5 linked regions of the Cricetulus griseus genome follow. The protein of the gene in region 3 purifies or fractionates together with the protein of the main gene of each other region. This does not show direct contact. Links are inferred from orthologs where the notes say so. Each region holds a gene or a part of one and is shown on either strand. Other genes may lie near its edges.

The links.
Region 1: the proteins of Ciao2b (region 3) and Mms19 purify together in Homo sapiens (affinity purification with western blotting; 11 studies listed by BioGRID and IntAct, counting the BioPlex papers as one, with this or other methods). This does not show direct contact. The link is inferred for Cricetulus griseus from reciprocal best matches to the Homo sapiens genes CIAO2B and MMS19.
Region 2: the proteins of Ciao2b (region 3) and Ercc2 purify together in Homo sapiens (affinity purification with western blotting; 3 studies listed by BioGRID and IntAct, with this or other methods). This does not show direct contact. The link is inferred for Cricetulus griseus from reciprocal best matches to the Homo sapiens genes CIAO2B and ERCC2.
Region 4: the proteins of Ciao2b (region 3) and Cdkal1 purify together in Homo sapiens (affinity purification with mass spectrometry; 3 studies listed by BioGRID and IntAct, with this or other methods). This does not show direct contact. The link is inferred for Cricetulus griseus from reciprocal best matches to the Homo sapiens genes CIAO2B and CDKAL1.
Region 5: the proteins of Ciao2b (region 3) and Fbxl5 purify together in Homo sapiens (affinity purification with mass spectrometry; 3 studies listed by BioGRID and IntAct, counting the BioPlex papers as one, with this or other methods). This does not show direct contact. The link is inferred for Cricetulus griseus from reciprocal best matches to the Homo sapiens genes CIAO2B and FBXL5.

What each region holds. Positions count from the first base shown.
Region 1 is NC_048596.1:19,568,843-19,573,024, forward strand, and holds the start of Mms19 (MMS19 nucleotide excision repair protein homolog), read left to right. Parts: upstream 1-1,375; 5' UTR 1,376-1,418; coding exon 1,419-1,533; intron 1,534-1,750; exon of another isoform or gene 1,751-1,877; intron 1,878-4,182. Other genes in the region: Ubtd1 (ubiquitin domain-containing protein 1), read right to left, coding at 522-591. UniProt on the Homo sapiens protein: Key component of the cytosolic iron-sulfur protein assembly (CIA) complex, a multiprotein complex that mediates the incorporation of iron-sulfur cluster into apoproteins specifically involved in DNA metabolism and genomic integrity.
Region 2 is NC_048602.1:27,967,159-27,970,669, reverse strand, and holds part of Ercc2 (general transcription and DNA repair factor IIH helicase subunit XPD), read left to right. Parts: coding exon 1-31; intron 32-373; coding exon 374-497; intron 498-588; coding exon 589-685; intron 686-770; coding exon 771-904; intron 905-974; coding exon 975-1,143; intron 1,144-1,586; coding exon 1,587-1,705; intron 1,706-3,318; coding exon 3,319-3,388; intron 3,389-3,465; coding exon 3,466-3,511. UniProt on the Homo sapiens protein: ATP-dependent 5'-3' DNA helicase. Component of the general transcription and DNA repair factor IIH (TFIIH) core complex, not absolutely essential for minimal transcription in vitro.
Region 3 is NC_048596.1:180,906,690-180,910,867, forward strand, and holds Ciao2b (cytosolic iron-sulfur assembly component 2B), read right to left. Parts: upstream 2,810-4,178; 5' UTR 2,771-2,809; coding exon 2,623-2,770; intron 2,467-2,622; coding exon 2,387-2,466; intron 2,174-2,386; coding exon 2,048-2,173; intron 1,654-2,047; coding exon 1,608-1,653; intron 1,179-1,607; coding exon 1,081-1,178; 3' UTR 243-1,080; downstream 1-242.
Region 4 is NC_048596.1:250,007,854-250,011,364, reverse strand, and holds the end of Cdkal1 (threonylcarbamoyladenosine tRNA methylthiotransferase), read left to right. Parts: intron 1-2,402; coding exon 2,403-2,603; 3' UTR 2,604-3,283; downstream 3,284-3,511. UniProt on the Homo sapiens protein: Catalyzes the methylthiolation of N6-threonylcarbamoyladenosine (t(6)A), leading to the formation of 2-methylthio-N6-threonylcarbamoyladenosine (ms(2)t(6)A) at position 37 in tRNAs that read codons beginning with adenine.
Region 5 is NW_023276807.1:112,389,085-112,393,355, forward strand, and holds the start of Fbxl5 (F-box/LRR-repeat protein 5), read right to left. Parts: upstream 2,804-4,271; 5' UTR 2,716-2,803; coding exon 2,632-2,715; intron 1-2,631.

The sequences.
Region 1 (4,182 bases), about 160 Mb from region 3:
TCCAGGAGGCTCTAAAAAGCCCCGCGGAGGGGTGGGGAGGAATAAAGATTTCGATCCCATGGCCCTGCACTGCTTTTGCAAGTCGGATTCTCGCAGACACGATCTGCAGCCTGATAATAACACTGTGACTCTCTGGAAGGAGCGACTCCGACTTCGGGGGACGCAGGCTGCCCACGCCGCGCCCCGGCCGGCCGCTGTCCGACCCCGGCCGGGGCTGCCAGACCAGCGGCGCACTCGTCCGGCCCCCTCCGCCGGCCTCGTCGCGGTCTGGAAACATTTCCTGCTCCCGCCCCCACCCCCAGCTTCCCGGTGGGAGCGAGTTGGCCTCGCAGCCGGGTCAGCGCTCGCAGTTACCCCAACTCGCTTCCCAGCCAACCCTCGCCGGGGAGGGCCCCGTCTGGCTCCGAAAAACCAAGGGGGAACCTAGGCGCTGTGCGAGGTCGCTCGAGAACCCCAGCGTTCGGGCAAGGCAGGGGCCAACTGGCGGCGCGCCGGGACCCCGCTGCCTTTCCTGGCGTTACCTGCTCGCTTGCGGGGGTGTCCCGGAGCAGCCGGCCTCTCCCGGCGCTGTCTCCCCACGCAGTTGCCCATGCTGGCTTCTCAGCCGGTCCCCATGCACCGGAGACGGCGGGCCGGCCGGCTGCTCCACGCTGCTGCCCGGAACCGCGGCGTCCCCGGGTCAACGGCTCTCGCAGCCCGACATCGGGAGATCCTGGATCTCCCCTGGGGTGCGCTCTGCCCGACGTCGGCTTCGCCACAAACTTTGCGGGCCAGGGGAGAGGGAGGTGGCCAGGCCAGGGGGGCCCGCGACAGTGCCCGGCCAGAGACCAGCCGGCTGGAGGGGCGGAGGGAGGGGGCGGACACCGCCGCAGCTACTCCTGGATCGCTCGCGGCTCCCAGCTGGGGCCGGCCCCCCGGAGCCTGTCAGTCACCTGCCTAACCCCGCCCCAGCCCGGCCCCGTTCCCTTCCTCCCGTTCGGGGTGCCCGTGCCACCGCCGCCAGCCGTCCCAGGTGCGCATGTGACCGACGGCACCGCCCCTCGGGCCGGGCCTGGTTTTCTCATTGGCTTCCCCCTGGGTGCGTACCGCCCCTCGGCCCCACCCAGCCAGGTGCCCGCCCTGCCGTCCGTCTCCCGGGGAGAGAGAGACCGGGAATTATGCGCCCCTCAACCGCCCCGGCTGCGTGCCAGGGGGCCGCTTCCCCTCCTCGTGCCGCGCCCCGGCCCCGGCCCCGCCCTCTGGGGGAGGGGCCGTCAGGTCCCTCCAGGAACCGCCAGGCCCAGAGCCGGCAGGCACGTGACCCCGGAGCGTCCCGCCCCCGAGGCCTGCGCCCCACTATTGGCTGCGGAGGCGCGTGCGCAGAGAGGCTCCTCTCCGGGCACCACCTACCTCCCCTCCCACAGTCTCCGGCTCGCGTCATGGCTGCCGCCACCGCTCTCGAGGAGGCGGCGGCGCCTCTGGACGCCCTGTGCGGCCTCGTGCAAGACTTCGTCATGGGCCAGCAGGAGGGGCCCGCTGACCAGGTGGCTGCAGGTAGGGCAAGCAGAGCCGTGAGGTTTCTGCAAGGGCCGGACCTAAGGGAGCGGCCTCAGCCCCGGCGCGCGGCGGGAAGGGAGTGAAGGGAGAGGAGGTTGATTGTGATTGGTCCTTTGCTCGCTCGGCCCGCACGGCGAGCGCTGCCGCCCTAACAAGTTGGAGAGTCGCTTGCACCTTCCTTAAACCTCCCTTTACATCCCGCCTCTCACTGTAGTCGGTAGAGAATCGTTGCATTTCTCCGGCCACCCCCAGGCCCAGCGAGAGCAGGAGACTGTGTAAGGGCGCGGACCAGCCCGGAAGTGGAGCTGGGACTTGGACTCGCGTGTTCTGCTCCAAACCAGGTGCTCGCACTCGGGGGCCGCGTTTGTGGAGTGTTAACGCGTGGAGGTGCGGCTTCGAAGGGTTACGCCCCGGTCTCTTGCCATCCCGGAGGTAGCATGCGCCACAGCTCTCTTGAGCGTGGTTAATTAGAGGGAGGAGGGGAGGAGCTAGTCTGGGTCCCGGTCGATAGGCTTGTAGGTGACTAGTGTTGCTATTCAGGCTTCACTTACTGACTTAGTGGGGTTTTTGACAAGTTAGCTTCACGGTTTCTTAAAATAGCCCATTTGTTATCTTCCCAGAGTTCCAGTTTCTGGAATCTCTCAGTTCTGAGTTTATCCAGGATTTGAGTAAATTAAATTCCAGGAGACCTCCTTGGAATTCTTTCCAAATGTTGAATGTTAGGATGCCTAACATTCAGAGTCAGGTTTAAGAAATAAAATACAAAATGGGTATAGATGCGGGTTTTCTTAAATTATTTTGGGGTGTTTTATATGTTTGGGAGCAGAAGTTTCTTCTGCAGATTGAACATAATATACGAGAAATGAACTTCTGCTAGAAATATATGCTGGTCCTTAGCAATATTCCCCTTTCGTTCTGCGATTCTATTATTACTGAGCACGTATTTTTCACCCAGCATGAAAAGATTGGGAACAAAAATACAAATTAAATGCTGTGGGCACAAAGAGATTATAATGTAGTGAGAGACAGACAGTTGTGTGGTTAGAAGCAAGTACATGGTGGTTCGTAAGTATTAAGGGGCAAAAATGTCTGCGATTGGCTGTACTTGGTGGTTTATGCCTTTAGTTTCAGGATTTGGCAAGAGGATGGCAAGTTTGATAGTGAGTTCTAGGCCAGCCTCCACTACAGTGTGAGATCATATCAAAAAAAAAAAAAAAAGCCTGCTTATAATATTTTACAACTTTATCAAGTATAGTCTGTTATGGGGTATTATTAATGCCATTTCCCTCAGTATTTTACTATGGAAATTTTCTATCGTTTAACAAAATCTAAAGAATTTTTATTTATTATTGTTGTTTGTTTGTTTGTTTGACATGAAGTTTCTTTGTGCTGTCCTGGAACTCACTGTGTAGACCAGGCTGGCCTTGAACTCAGAGATCCAGATGCCCCTGCCATCCTGAGTACTGGGATTAAAGACATGCAACACCATTGCCCAGCTTAAAGAATTTTATAGGGATTACACATCCAACACTACTTAGAGCCGATCATTAACATTTTTTTTTCTGTACTTTGAATTATCACATACCCATTTAAACTGCAGAGGTCAGTACATTTATCTCTAAGTACTTCGGCATTCTATCATTGACTAATGTTTGTTTATGGTTTATTTGGAGGTAAAACATATCCAATGAATTATATTGGGAACATTGTTTTTCACAGAGGTACTTAATACCACCTCATTCCAAGATAGACAATATTACTATGTTAATGTTAACCTGTAACTGTTTTTCCGCATTTGTACATTTTTATATCTTTGTAAAATGTATTTTTTGTTTTTATGTCTTTTTTTAAAAGCCTAAACTTTCATATGGTTTAAAATGAACTCTGTAGCATGTGTGTAAGTGAACCCTGTTGTAAAGTACTCATCTTAACATACAGAAGGTTGGTGCAGAGGCACAGTAACGGACAAGGCTGAAAGGTTTGATGGAGCTGAAATATATATATATCTCAGAACCTTGGATCTGAATGACCTGGTGTGTGGGCAATAGGAGTTTAGCTCTTTGAGCAAGAGCCTTAAAATGAAAGGAAATTTAGGAAGGGTTAATTTAGTATTCCCAGTCTCAGATCATAGTTGTTAGGTTATGGAAGTTGACAGTTTTGGACTATTCCCAGAGTATGATGTACTTCCTCCAGCCTAAGTCAGTCTGTGTTCCTACTGAACACATCAGCCTTGGAAGCCACAGCTCTTCTACAAGTTACAAATGAAGAAGGAATGACCTGTGAACACAAAGGAACTGCAACTTTGTTTTGCACCTGGTAGTTTCTGATGGAAATAGTTGTCAGCTCCCATGAACATCCAAGTACTAGAAAGGAAATGACTTGGGAACCCAGGAATTAAGGCCTCTCAAACAGGCATTCAAAGATAGCCAGTACTTGGTCCCAGCCTTTATTCTCAACATTGACCTCTTGGACCCTTAGTTCTGGGCACCAGCCTTCATTTTCCATTTCCTGAGTGTTTTCCTTCCAGTTCCCTCTACTAGCTATATCTAATCCAAATTAGACCTTATACTCAAGGCCCAGTTCAAGTACTGGTCTTCCGGTATTTCCTTATTACCCTGGCCAGACAACATGTCACTTCGTATCTTG
Region 2 (3,511 bases), on a different chromosome or scaffold from region 3:
CTGGTGCCCCTACTTCCTGGCTCGATACTCGGTGAAGAGTTGTTTTGTTTTCTTCTGGGGCAGGGTCTCACTTATAACCCAGGCTGGCCTCAAACTTAGAAGAACCTTACGCAGGTTCCCAGCTATGGGGGTTATAGGCATGAGCCACTTTTGCCCACCCCTCCGTTAGCCCATCTGTCTGCTTGCATCTTTGTTGACCTGGTACCTAGGTCTTCCTGTCTCCAGCCTCTGTTTATGCCTTGCCTGGGTGGTCCCATCTGTCTTTTCCATCCACCTGCTGTCTGTCTTGGTGTTACGTCTGTACACCTGGGAAGGAGTGGTATGGCGGGGGCAGCAGGGCCCAAGGCAAAAACTTATCCCTCCATGTTCCTAGATCCTGCATGCCAACGTGGTGGTTTACAGCTACCACTATCTCCTGGACCCCAAGATCGCAGACCTGGTGTCCAAAGAGCTGGCCCGCAAGGCCGTCGTGGTCTTCGATGAAGCCCACAACATTGGTGAGGAGGGTGCCAGGGTGTGCAGACAGCGGCGGCCTCTCTGCCCCGCCCCCAAGCCGGCTGAGCCCATGTCTGTCTGCTTTCCTCCTAGACAATGTCTGCATCGACTCCATGAGTGTAAACCTCACCCGCAGGACTCTGGACCGCTGCCAGAGCAACTTGGACACCTTGCAGAAGACGGTGCTCAGGTGCCCACTCTGCTCCCTGTGTGCCGCCTGCCTCCGTGGCCCTGGACACCTGCCCCATTCCAGCTCTGTCCCATGTCCCCGCCAGGATCAAGGAGACAGACGAGCAGCGGCTGCGGGACGAGTACCGGCGCCTGGTGGAGGGGCTGCGGGAGGCCAGCGCGGCGCGGGAGACAGACGCGCACCTGGCGAACCCTGTGCTGCCGGACGAGGTGCTGCAGGGTGAGCCGTGCCCCACCCCCCACCCTCACACGCCTTCCTTCCCGTGCCAGCTGACTCAGTCTCCCTGCAGAGGCCGTGCCAGGCTCCATCCGCACTGCCGAGCACTTCCTGGGCTTCCTGCGGCGGCTGCTGGAGTACGTCAAGTGGCGGCTGCGCGTGCAGCATGTGGTACAGGAGAGCCCTCCTGCCTTCCTGAGCGGCCTGGCTCAGCGCGTGTGCATCCAACGCAAGCCCCTCAGGTGCGCATGCTGCCATGGGGACCTCAGGTCCAGACCTGTGGCTGGTGACGGGGTCAGGGGTCAGGTCAGAGTCGGATGTGGAGCGAGCCGTGTCACTGTGAGGTCAGCTCTTGGCTGTGACCGCTGCAGGACTACCTGGTACTTCTGCAGCCCTATGCGTGTGCATATGCGAGCCTGGGAAAGTGTGTGGCTGTTCTTTCTGAGCGTGGGGCCCACGACACTGGCTGCACAGCACAGTGACTGATGGCCATGGGTCTTGTTTGACAAGAATTTGCATACAAGCGGCAAACCTGGGCGCCGTGTGCGTGTGCTAGTGCTGTGCGGTAGCTGTGGATGTTTGCAGTGTGGGGACAGCTTGGCCACAGACGATGCCCAGGTAAACAGGTGGCGAGAGTCCCAGCCATTGCTGCTTCCCTCCCTCTCCCGACCCCATGGCTTCTCAGGTTCTGTGCTGAGCGCCTGCGCTCCCTCCTGCACACCTTGGAGATTGCTGACCTGGCTGACTTCTCCCCGCTCACACTCCTTGCTAACTTCGCCACTCTCGTCAGCACTTACGCCAAGGGTAAGCTCCCCTCTTGCTCCTCCTGGCAGCGGACTTGGGGGCCTAGCTAAGTCGGGTGGGGTATTAGCAGGAAGTCTGGGCATGTGAGACAGGGGATTTGAGCTACTATGAGGGCCCTGGGGAACAAGCGAGTGAGCGAGCCTCGTGTTCAGATTCGTGTGTCTAGAGGCTCCTCCTGGCTGCAGGGGGAGAACTCGAGTGAGCTGTGATACTGAGCAGAGGGATGCTGTGCGGTCAGCCCACCTTTGGCTGGGGGAGAAGTCCTCATGTGTGCCTGAGGGCACCGGGAGCCATGGCAGGGTCTGGGCAAGGGATGTACTTGGTGAGGTTGTTGTTTTCAAGGTTCATCCAACAGAGAGGGGGAGCCATAGACTGTGGGGACAGGAAAAGGGAGCCTTGGGGAGAGCTATGGGAGAAAGCGGCCAGATGTAAAAGCCCTTGAGGGAGAGGGATGCAGGTGATGCACAGGGAGAGGGGACAAGCTACAGCTTTTGTTGCCCCCGCCCGCCCCAGCTTTGCACTGAGTTTTTAAGCTTATCCCTGGGGATTAGTACCGTAGCCAGGAAACCAGGTCAGCTGGCGTCCTGCAGCTGGCCCAGCCTTGGAAGAAGGGGCTGCTGGCAGCTGTCTGCTTCCTTCTGCCCTCACCCAGCCTCTTCTCCTGGCCTTCATTGTTCTCCCTCCGGCCCCCACCTACTGATGCATCCATCACAGTCTTACAGAAAGCCTCCTTCCCTGTGCCCCATCACCTGCCCGAGTCAAGTCCTTTACCTCTCAGAAAGTCACCCCCACTCCATTCCATCCTGGGCCTGCCCCTCCCTCTGTCCCAGCTGGGTCTCTGGCTAGCTGTCTCCCCCGTGCAAGGAGAGCCCTTTTGGGTAGGACCGAGATTCTGTTGGTTTCTGCTGGGTCCTCAGCATGATGCTGGACACAAGACCTGGTCTTTCCTTGCCAAGTGAAACAGAATCTGTGAATGTAATCATTTGTTCAGTCAACAGATGGGCCAGGCTGGGCCCCGTGGAGACAGCGGGATCTAACACAGCCAGGCTGGGCCCGGAGTCTAACACACACAGCCAGGCTGGGCCCAGCACAGCCTTAGTTGCCCCCCTCATCCTCCTGTCCATATCCCTACCCTCATCTGGGAGCCACAGCCTGGGGGCTAGGAGCAAAGATCACTCCAGAAGGGGACACTAGAAAGTGTGGCTGTGCTGTGAGGAGCAGGAGTCCTGGCTCCCAGGGTGCCTGTGGAACAAGGACCCAACCAACCAAGTGGGCCCTGGGACATGACGCTGATACCGTAGCTGGGAGCAAGGGCTGGCCCTGCAGAGTTCATGGGCACACTTCTGGGTATGGCAGGAGTGTGGAGACACCAGCCAACTTAAGGTTCCATAGCGTCTCCCCGACTGCAGTGTGGGGAGCAGGGGGGGACAGGTGGGAGTGAGGCCGGCCTGGGGGAGGGCGGGCCTGGCCTCCCTGCGGGGCCGTGCAGTGAAGCCCTGGCTCACCCTGCTTCCACACCTGAGCGTTTGTACAGTCCTGTCCTGCGCTAGCCATGGCAGGGGCAGGGGCAGGCGGGGGCTGTCGTGCACACTCACCGGCCTCCTCCTCCCCAGGCTTCACCATTATCATCGAGCCCTTTGATGACAGGACCCCGACCATTGCCAACCCCATCCTGCACTTCAGGTGAGATGCAAGCCTGTGTGGACAGGATGGCTTCGCCCCCGGCCTCTGCCCTGGGTGACGACTGTGTTATCCCACAGTTGTATGGACGCCTCCTTGGCCATCAAGCCTGTGTTTGAGCGCTTC
Region 3 (4,178 bases):
TCTTAAAACAGCAACAGAAAGCCGGGCATTGGTGGTGCACGCCTTTAATCCCAGCACTCAGGAGGCAGAGACAGGAGGATCTCTGTGAGTTCGAGACCAGCCTGGTCTACAAGAGCTAGTTCCAGGGCAGCCTCCAAAGCCACAGAGAAACCCTGTCTCGAAAAAACAAAAAACAAACAAACAAAAAAAAAAACCCACAAAAAACCCAGCAACAGAAAAGAAACTAAGACAGCAGACTTATATCAATTTAGGACATAGTTCTTTATGTCTCTGTAGGTTCCTCTAGAAATAGTTCTGTAAACACACACAAATAAGGCCAGTGTCACAACAGGTCAACTGAAACTACTGAATCCATTGGTGGTTTGGCTATCCAGGTATTTATATATTTCTTTAAAGATTTTTTTTTTTTTCATTTGCAACTTTTGCTAACTGAAGCACTAGAAGAGCTAAAAAAAAAAAAAAAGATTTATTTTCATTTTTTGAGTCAGGGCCTCTCTATATAGCTTTAGTTAAAACTCTCTGTGTAGACTAGGCTGGCCTCAAAAATCAGATTATCTGCTTGCCTCAGTCTCCTGAGTTCTGGGACTAAAAGGTGCACCACCACACTCAGCTTACTGATTTATTTTATGTGTATGAGTATTTGTCTGAATGTAGGTATGTGTACCACATGTGTGCCTTGTGCTTATAGAGGTCAGAATAGGACATTGGATCCTCTGGAAATGAAGTTACAGATGGTTGTGGGCCTCCATGTAGGTGCTGAGAACCTAACCCAGGTCCTCTGCAAGAGCAGTGTTTTTAACTGCTGAGCCATCTTTGCAGTCCCACTGGGAGAAATCAAAAAATGATGGGGCACCTCATGGACACATCCTTCATAGGCACCACTCTCCCCTCCACAACCCCTAATGACTCCATCATGGAAGATGCTAAGGCATGCTGGGAAATGAATATAAATTAAGGGTTTATTACAAAATGAAAAATGTTAGTTTCTCCTTGTCAGTGATTCAAGAAAACAAAGCCACAAGCCCTTGGTGGAGCTGAGGCCAGGACACCTGTGTGCAGGCTGGTGGTCAAAAGCCAGGCTCATGATCGGGCTGACAGACACTGATTAACGACCTCTAGCAGGTGGGTATTCTCCAGAGCAGCTGCCACTCGTTCCTTATCTGCAAGCTGTTTGTTCACTAGGTAGGAAAGAGGGTTATAAAAAGAGGGTTAAAGCAACTTTAGCCAGGCTGCTAGCCTCAGGACAGATTATATCTCTACCAATAAAGGTCTCCTATCACCTTCCCAGGACTCCTTATCAACTGTGCCCATACTCTCTTATTTTTCAGGAATACTACATACCTCCAGGGAGTACTTAGCCTGCCTCCACTATTCCAGAAACCTGATACAATGTCCTTGGGGAATATGGGAGAGAAACTCATGGGAAGGAGGAGACTTAGGTCAGGCCAGTTTGATCTAGGCTGTAGTCTGGTAATTCTTTAGTCACCTAGACACCCACCCCCCTTAGTCCTAACCTTCCTTATAAACTATTGTGGCAAAGGGGAAGTCTCAACAGTTTGGGGCCCAAGGGGAGAGGGGGATCAACTTCCCCGCCAGCTCACACTAACCTGCATGTTCCGAGGCATGGGTCCCGGGTGTAATGTGCACATCCATCTGGAAGAAAGACAACCTGGGCCTGAGCACTTATTCATCCTTTTTTGGTCCCTTCCCTCCAGAAACCACCTCCATTCCACCCATCTTTCTAATCGTGCCTCTCGATTCTGGCACTTCCGTCCCACCCCAAGTCCACCTGCAGTCAACCTACCCAAGGGCCTTGTCAGCTGCTACTGATTTAAAGGTCTGCCAGTGCCTCCATCAAGCCCATCTACAGCTGCCCTTTCTACCACATTCCTCACTATTTTCTGGAGTATTTCCAGTATTCTTGTCAAATCAGCTTGACGTTTCCTCGCAGTTCGTCTCTGCGAGTTGGGATCCTTCCAGTCTCCACTCTGATGTCCCCTCTCCTCAGTAGTTGTTTCATTCACCCTTAGGCTGGACTCCAACTGACCTTGAAACGCTGGGGAAGGGATCGAAGAAGCTTGACTTTGATAGAAAGGCCTATAAGTGTGGCCATGCTGCAGTGTGGAATGGTGGGTGTGAAAGCCACGGCCACCGTGCTCTCAGGGTCGCTAACCTGTGTTGACAAGGAGATTATAAAGATTACACGACCGCCCCTAGCACCGAAATCCTCTCTTTACTAAAATTTGGGCAAGTTACCTAAACTGGAAAAAACAACCTCCCGCCCAAAGATCCTCTTAGGTGCTTGTGAATGGAGAACGCCAGCCTCTTAACATATAATGGGACCTTTTAAACTACTTTGGATAAGCTATCACATTCTGACACTCACCTGAATCCGAACTTGTTCTACTACATTTAATTCCTCTAGCGTCAGTGGATGCTCCGGGTCATTAATGGAGCGAATAAGATGTGCCAAGTGAAGGAAAAGGAACTCTAAGTTTTGGCCCACTCAAAACCTCCGCAGGCATGCCTAACCGGGACACCCCTCCACCACCGTGTTGCACATCACTTCTTCCCGGTACCCTAGACCCCCACCGTCCGCCAGCTCCCAGCAGTGGTGGATATCGAAGATCTCGCGGGCGTCGATGCTGTCGGGCACCTGTTCGTCCTCCTCGCCCGCCGTCACTGGCCGCTCCCCCGAGCGCTCATAGATGAGGGGGTTGGCGTTCTCTAGAAGCCCGACCCGGCCACCGCCTTCACCGCCGCCCACCATCCCGGAACTGCGGTTCCCACAACCCCCGGGTGGTGTGTACTTCCGCTGCTACGGCGCACTTCCTGGGAATGAGTAGAGGGCGTGGTGTGACTACGGGGTCGCGCAAGGGACATGCCAGTCTCCCGGGATTCGGCGGGTAGTTTGCAAGATCAGTGTATTTGTTGTGCCTGCTACTCTGCGGAAGCCGGAAAAATGTTGGTAGTTCTAGCCCGGGCATCAGAAGAGACTCCCGCGGCTCTTGGCCGTGCGATCCTGCCAGGAGCTGGAGCGCAGAAGCTAAAACCATTTGACTAGGGCCTCTTGAGATTGAACCTCTACCACCCCCTTCAGGAGGCTAGGCCGAAAGGGCATTCGGATGCTCAAGTTCGCTCTCTGGCTATCTCGGAACCATAGATCCACAAAAGACACGCCGGTTTCCCCGAGCAGGGATCAGCAGGCACTAATTACATGCTTTTTATGTAGACAAGCGATTATGAACTTGAATTCCACTGGGGAAGAAAAGCCTATAAGGGAGAGGCGTCATTGAAAAACGTCATATTCACGTATGAGTTGGGGAGGGCCGACGTAGCCTTTCAGTCCAGGAAATAAAATAGATAAGATGGTGTATACTTGAAGGCGGACCTCGTAAACTATGAGTCCCGAAAGCAAAAATGATTTTTTTCGAATGAAGGCAGCCAGACCCCCTTTCCCCCGCCACTCCCTGTGTGTGTGAGTACAGTTCTCATCCGGATCCAATCGCCTGAAGGTCCGCCCTGCCCTATTCTCCATCTGGGGCCAAGAACCACGTAGACCTTTCTGAACTCTCCTTTCCAACCAAAACTCCACAATGGGAATGTGATTACAGGGGAGGTTAACACAGTGACTCAAGACTTAAGACAAAGGTTCCTGGTGTCTCAAAGGGGTTCCGTTGCTCCTTGGAGGAGGCTACCCCCTGCTTGTTGGTCAGAAGTGCACTGCAGTCTGTGACCTTAGCCTATTCAGAAACTCTACTGCAGGCACAACAACCATGCCAGGCACACACCCCCTGTGCCCAGCCTACCAGCGCCCAGGTCAAACTTCTGGAGGAGGCCTTGATACACACTGTTGCCTGTCTGTGAGACACAGCATGCCTAATGGCAGCACAGACAAAAACCAAGACACTGAATTAATTGTGGCTAGACAGACTTTCTGGCTGTTTAAATGCTATGGTGTGTGGGCCCTTGATTCTCTTCTTCCCAGTGCAGAAGACCCTTGCAGAGGACAGGGACTTGAATAAGAATTACACAATTACGTAGAGTCAGAGGCCGAGACTGAGAGTGAGGGTGCACCATTGAGAGAAGCTAGTGAAGGGCTAATGACTGGGAGTAGTGTACCCACCCAGTGAACTGCCAAAAGCATTTAGGGACCCAGGGTCTCTTGTAGCATTAGG
Region 4 (3,511 bases), about 69 Mb from region 3:
GGTGGTGATAATGAAGGAAAGCTGACAGGTTCTAGCCATTCAGGCCAGGAACCAGGAATATGAGGTAGCCCATCCCAACACTCACCTCATCTATGAACTGCTGGAACATGTGAAGGGGTCAGACCTTCAGATTCAAATCTAGTGGGTCTCCATGACACAATTCAACTGAGAACAATTTTCAGACATCAGTTTCACTCCTACTATGGGAGTCCTGGAGATCAAACTTGGGTCATTAGGCTTTCTGTTTGTACTGTCTTCATATGTGTTTCATTATTTCTGCTCCGATCTTTCTACCAGTTTTATGCAAGGCCTTGGGGTACCATTTATTTATTTTTTTTTAATTCTCCATCTGGCATGTCTTTCTTCTATTTCACTTTCCTTGCATCTTGTTCTTATTTGGAGAGGCCATGTTTACTTGTGTTTCTCCATTCACATTTGTTCATCCTATAGATCAGGTGACTCTTACTTGGCCAGGGCAGCTTCTCAGTAAGCGACTTTCTCCTGAAGATATGTCCTGGGGTGTTGGTTTGTTACAAAGCTTTTGATCCTCAGAGAGCACTGTAACTTGGTATGGTCCTTCTATAGTTTGACCATGGTCAGGGAGTTTGAACATAGAGCAGGCCAGAGGAGCAAAAGTGAGGACACTGCCATTTCAGTCTTGTTGAAACCAACATTCTGAGAAAACCCCAACCATGTTCATTAGACTGAGAACCACCTTTTCCTTCCCATGGTTTCATATAAAATAGAACCCATCATCCCCAGTACACATAACTCTGAACATAATTACCAAAGGCACAGTTATGAATGGGAATGAAAGTAAGTTGAGTCACATGACACATGGAGGCAACATTACTTGATAGACATATGCCGAAGTTACCAAAAGTACTGAACATATCAATAGACTTCCAGGTTTGATAGCAGTCTCATACAAATAACTTCTAATGATTATTTAAAAACTACAAATCCATTGTGAGTACCATTCTTGAGAGCTCCTTCAGTCAATTGAAGTGGAAGCTTGTACCAAACACCACAAGAGCCAGCCTCAAAGAAGAGCTGTCTCCTGGAGGGTGTGGCTCCCTGATAAAGACTCCCCTTGCATAGAGACCAGCAAGGCAGTATGGGCCCAAACAAAGACTGTAGTTGGAGTTGAGAAAGTCATCATGCTAGCAACAACCTTAAAATCCCCATCAGTCTCCTACAGTGAAACCAAGGGTTCTTCCACATGAATCAGGTATAAATACAAGGTTGGAAATTGGGTCATAAACATTGCCTTCCTTTCTATATTTCTTCTCTATTTTAAATTGTGTGTATATCTATGTGGGGTTTGTGCACTTGAGTGCAGTAATCTCTGAGTTCAGAAGGGAACATGAGATCTCCTGGTTCTGGAGTTACAGGTGGTTGTGAGCTGCCCAGTGTGGGTACTGAGGACTGAACCCTGGGTTCTCTACAAGAGCAGCAAGCACTCTTAGCCGATGAGCCATCTCTCCAGATTCCATATTTCTGTGCCTATACTCAGTTCATTTCCTCTATTTTGTTAAATGTCATTCAATTCTTTCTGCCCTTCAGCCCTTGTCTTCAGGTCTTAGTATTGCCCAATGTGCCTCTACTTCTCTCCACTCTCAGGCACCAGCCAGTGTTTGCAGTGGAGAGGAGCACTTCCACACAGTAGACAAGAGTGGCTCAGGACTGTCAAAGTGCTCAGAAGGGAGGCACAAGAGAATCCAATGGTTGCTCAAGGACAACTGTGCTTACAACGACACATGTTGCACCCCTCTGCCATGTTGTGCCCCTTCTCCAGCCTCTGTGATTCTCTTATCTACATGTCCCAGCAAGGGTGTCCATGCTATATGGTGACATTGTTTTCAAAGGTGGTTGCTAATGTGAAAAATCTCATACAATAGAGACAATGTGTGCTGGGAAATATTAAAACCCATGAGAGTAGCAATGTTCCTTCCTCCACTTTCCCCATGTCAGACTAGAAGCCTTACTGAATGGAGAACAGTCATGTTGACTCACACCTTGTACTCCGCTCACACTGAGTTGTCCCAGCCTTTCTGTGTCTGGCACACCAAAGTAAATGGAGAGAACTCTATGGATCGGGCCACTCAGGTCACCCTGACCTTTATAGGCCTACCTGGAGATGGGTTCAGCCTTCCTCCAATGGCAGAACACCTTGGAATGTCTGCCCTCAAGGGTGTGTTTGATGAACAAAATGCCTTCTATGTAGTCTGAAAAAACAAGACTGTTTTACTCCTCAGAGAAAGAAGCCAACTTTTCCATACCAGGCTTGGGGCTACCTGGACCCTGCAGGGCATCCAAATGTGGCTGGGTTGAAAGAATAAGGATCACTGCAGGAATTTTTTTCTGAAAATTACTTTTCTTACCTGTTTCTCTCTTTATAGGAATTCAGAAATAGGTTTGGAAATCATCTGACTTCACCTTCAGACACCTGTGCTGCAACTCTGCGTGACTCGGCATACTCCAGAATTGTGCTGCAGATGTCCCAACATGACTGTGCATTGTGGGTAGCTGCAGGCCTGGCTCTCACTGCTCTTCTTTTTGCATTTCTGGCCAGAGTCTATGCTTACAATGTAACTAAATGAAGCATCCATAAGGAGTAATTTTCTAATTAAAACCTTTGGGGAAGCAACTACACCAGTTCTCAAGAGGCAGTCATCTGAACTGGTCATGCTGCCTTGTCTGGATCCCTTCTTAATGAGGCTCACCCTGTCTCACATTGAGCTGAGCCATTTGACCTCAAATCACAGCTTCTGGAACATGTCTTTTTCATCATCAAACTCCTTTTGACTTTTTAGCAACATATGCAAGTGGTTGAATTTTTTATTTTCTTTTAATCTCCCAACCTAAGTGCACAGTGGTCATCAGTGGCTCTGGCTGTCAGTTACCCTGGTCTCCAGTGGCCCTGGCCACCAGTGGCCCTGGCTGTCAGTGGCTCTGGCCACCCCTTCCTGGTGTGGAAGAACATCCAGCCCTTAATACACATTCTTCAGGCTGTGTTTGGAGTCCCCGTGCTACAAACATCTTTTTCACAGCACATGTGTTCCTGAAAAGTTTATATAGAAACCTATTTTGGGAACTTGGACCCAAGTCTGCCACTTAAAGGACTCTTCCTAGCATTTTAGAAAATGTGAGGAATCCATGCCTGTAGCACCCACAAACTTTCAAACAAACCACTCTTTTCCTGCCCTCTGACTGGACATCATCAGCCTCTTCTACTGAAATGACTTCTTTCACAATAAAAGGAGTTGGTGCAATAAGCAAACCCTGTGTTTACCGTAATTTAAATGATTTATTTGGATTGAGTAGGCAGAGGGGAACAAAATCAGTGCCTTTAGATACCATGGGATTATTTTCATCTCTAGACCCATCCTCTCTGTTAGTTCTTTCTTACATGTGTCCCCTAAAAAGCCCATCCCAAAATTTAATGTCATCAGTTAGCCAAAAAAAGTACATATGCAAACACACATATGAGATCTCATTACTATCATAA
Region 5 (4,271 bases), on a different chromosome or scaffold from region 3:
CATTAAACTATTATACAGAAATATTTAACATAATCTGTAACAACTTAATAATTCGCTCTAAGTAAATTACTCAAAGCACAGAAAAACTGATTTGATGATCCTAAAGAAATCATTTTGTGAATATACTGTGTTTTACAAGTTCAATACTGGGAATAAAATTGAAATCTTTATGGTTTCTGGACATTCTCAGTCAATATCAAGAATACAGTGAAATAACATACTTTGTAGTTTTTAGCTTTAACCAAAAACTAGTTCTCATTTTGCAGTTTTACTGCAGGTTATTTGGATCAGATAACCTTGATCTATACAACTAAAAGAAAGATGACAATGGCAAACCTGGAAATGACAAACTAACCAAAACAACTCTTAGTTCTTTAAGGCTAGTCTGCCATCAAAAAAGTTATTTTCCCACTTCTGCTCACAAAGGACACCCAGAGAACCTTCCACTGGTCATTGGTAACTAGAAAAAATGATGGAAATTACTGTGCAGTTCTTTTTTCGTCATTAAATTGCTTTGGTCATAGTTAAGAAAACTGAAACTTTTAGTATTCTTGAGGAATATAAGCAATAATCTCATTAACTACATGCAATTAATTCAGAATTAATGACTTCTATACAATGCTGGGAACAAATCAGAGTCAATTTGAAATAAAACTATACCAAATTAAACATGCTTTATTAAACTGGCTATGCAAGAGGGAACATTTAACTACTGAGAAGAATCTTATTTGACTCATTTTATTTAAGTCAACTGCATTTCCAAAATTTGCTCAAATGTTCTCAAACACCAAAAAGAGACACAAAAATAATGGCTGTGCCCAGTGGGGTGACAAATGCCTGTAATTCTTGAACCTGGAAGGTGGAAGCAGGAAGCTCAGAAGTTCAAGGCCAGTCTGTGCAATGTAGTGAATTCTCAAGGCCAGCCTGGACTAGGGGAGAAAACTGTGTCAAAAAAAGTAGGAAAACAAAAGAATATTGTTTTTAAAGAGACTGAGTAGTACATTATAAATTTTGATAATCTGGATTGGTCATAATCCTTTGGCAACCTGAAACATCTTAAATACCAGAAAGCTCATATGGAAGTGTACAAACTGACAACATTTCCCATTATCACCAGAGAGTCTCTCGACTCCCTCTCGACAAAATCAGAGTAAAGCCTTGGATTTAATCAGTCCTCATTAAATTCCCCTTTTGCTTTTTAAGAAAAGTGGGGGAAAAGTTTTTCCTTGCCTGAAATTAAAGCATAGTGTGAGAAAAAAAAATCCAAAAAGTGGAGATTATAAAAACAAAACCACTAACTGAAAAATGCAAGATTATACTCTTCTGCTCAAGGGTTAACCAGTCGTTAAGTTTCTCCTAGATAAAAGAGATAATCACCCTCGTTGTACCCCACTCTCACCTGAGAGCTCAAAATTACACTTGATATCTGGGTTCCATGCTCAGACATCCAATATGAATGGGGTCGGATTTTAAAGAGCAACGAAGTGGAGAACCATGATCTAAACAGTGTGTTTAAAGGTACACCTGACTCGGACTGGGTTTGTTTGTTGTTTTGTTTTTTCTTTTCCCAAAATGGAGATAGAGAAAGGGTTGTCGGACAGTAATGCTAAGATCTGAAACTTCAAATTGCCGGTCTTCCTGTGACCTACCAATGAAGACACTGGGTTCTCTGGGTTGTAGGCCAACTCTTACTTGCTGTTAATATGGTGCTAATTCTGTGTAATTTCTGAAAATTCAACTTATGTCTGTGTTTAAGTAATAATTACTTAACAGCTATTTATTTGGTTCATTCTTACCAAACACAGGACGTGCCCAGAGTTTACACATATTTGACCTTCCAAACATAAACTGACAAATGGGAATTTTAAGAAACATTAGAAAAAGACCTTCAACTCATTTCCATAAAAGTAATTCAATTTAGGCGACATCAATTAAAAGTCCAAAACGAGTTTCACAGCAAACCAACTTTCCCTAAGGCCAACAGAGGAACAGCTAGCTGTCTTAAACCAAAATCAACAAGGACTAAATATTCGGGAAAAATAAAAGCTGGAAGGAAAAAAGGTAAACAGAAATGTAGCGTGCAGGTCTTCCCCGGCCCCTGCGTGCGGAACCAAACCAGTGCGACACTGGCAGGGAAAATAAACCCGCTCCGGTGGCTTCAAGACGCTGCCCATGGAGCCGGGAAGCAAGTCACAGGTCCAGGCGGGGGACGCAATGTTTGCAAAGCGACTCAAAGAGCCCGAAGGGGCCGGGCGGGCAGTCCCGCGGTGGCGAGCAACCGCAGAAGCGGCCTGCGGACGCGGACCGGGAGCTCCCGCGGGCGACCGACCCGGGTCTCTCCAACCCTGAAGGGACAGCGGCTGCGGCTCCGGGAGCGCCCCTCACCCCCGCACAGGCCAGACCCGCGAGCAGGACGCTGGGCAGGCGCCGCGCGCCCCGAAGGCACGTCCCAGGCCGCGGCCGGCGCGGGCTTCCCAGGGACCGGGCGGGAAGGTGCGGGAGGCGCGCGGCTGACGGGGCGCAGGCGGCTGATCGTACGGCCCCAACCCGGGGGCGGCGGGAGGCGCGCAGGCCAGGCCGCCCGGAACCCGCCCGCTCCTCCGCGCCGCCCTCCGCCCCGCGCTCCGTTACCTTGTCGCAGTAGCGCCCCACCAGCTGCTTCATCCGCCAGTGTGGGGCGGTGAAGACGTCCACTTCATCGGGGAAGGGAGCCATCGCCACAGCTTCAGCGTCCGCCTCAGCAGCCGCAGCCGCCGCCTCTCCATAGACACCCTCGCCGCGGGGCAGAGGCGGCGCGCCCCCCTGCGCATGCGCCCGCCCCGTCGGCGCGCGCGCCCGGGCCGCTCCGCGGCCGCTCCGCGGGAGCGCGCGGGCCGCCGCCATGCGATGCCGCAGCCCACGTGACCAGCGCGCGCCGAGGCGTACGGATTCCACCTCCCGTCTGCGTGCACGTTCCCCCCCTCTGCTGTGCAGAGACCTGACCGTGTCTTCTCCTAAAAGCGCAGTGTCTGAGGGCGGGGGTCTTCAAGGGTGCTCCTCCGTGACTTGAGGCGGGGCAGTTGACCTGCGTGGTCGGGTCGAGCCTAAGCTCTACGATCGGGGTGACTGTGAGCGCTCCGAGCGCCCAGCCGCCCTCGCTGCCTCGGGGTTTGCTAGGCCGGGGCTGCCGGCTCTGGGCCTCGCTAGCCGGGCCTCCGCGCTGTGGCTGAGGTCAGGAGACATGGCAGCCCCTTGTCTCGCCCCTGCGTGGAGCGTTGGTGTGAGGGTGGGAGGTTGGCCATGGGGAACTGGAGATGCCAGAAGGAGGACAGACACCCAGTACGGGAACAGCAACCCCAGAGCGGCCAGATGAGCCTGGTGGGGGAAGGGCGAGCCATCATGGCGGTCTAATAGGCAAACAGCCTTAGCACAAATCCCGCCATTTTAAACCGAAGGCGCTCAGACAAGAAGAAAGGGCCTTAAACGAGGTCACTGCCCAGAGAAAGGCCAGTAGGTCTCGCCCCTACACTTCACCTTTCCTCATCTAAGCCCTCCAGTATGCTTTTCCGACTTAATGGAAGCAGCTCTCATCTGTGGCTTTAGGACTGATAGAGAAATAGAGGAAACAAGGGCAAGGCTGAGAACCTGTGAATGATGTGCTAATTGCCACAAACTTCTGGACAGTAAACAGAAGATATGCGATATTCACCTTCCTACCCCCTACCACAAATTCATGACAACAGGTAAAAGGAATCAAATGTTCAAAAATGGGGTAGAAGGAGATAAGAAAGAACTCTAGAGCGAATCTGTGTAGTTCTAATCTTACCATTTGATATTAACATGCAAGATGAGCAGGAAAACAAGACTCCGGAGATGAAAATTAGGTTGTTTCACAAAACCCTAGTTGTATTTAACCTAGGAAAGCTACAGGACTTCTGTGCCCGACCTAAGTATATTATCTTCTGTAAAACGGGGGGCGGGAGGGAGTATCTTTATAAGATTTTAAGAGCTAAATTTATATATTTGAAGTGCTTATAGGAGTACCAGGCTCATAACAATGTCTGTAAACAGCGTTAGGAAATTAAGACTGTTGTTCTGCTGGAAGCTCCTCCTTAATCCCCCTCCCCCATCTCTCTCTCCCTAAACCCTGCTTCATTCCAGAAAGCCCATCAGCAGCTCCCCTCTGGAGATGCCAGGGACCGTCCTAACGGCTATTTAAGTCCCGGACTATTGATCTGCCACGTGTGCCTTCATGTTCTGTCTGTCCCCTGCCTTCCTGAGGCCCACTCGAG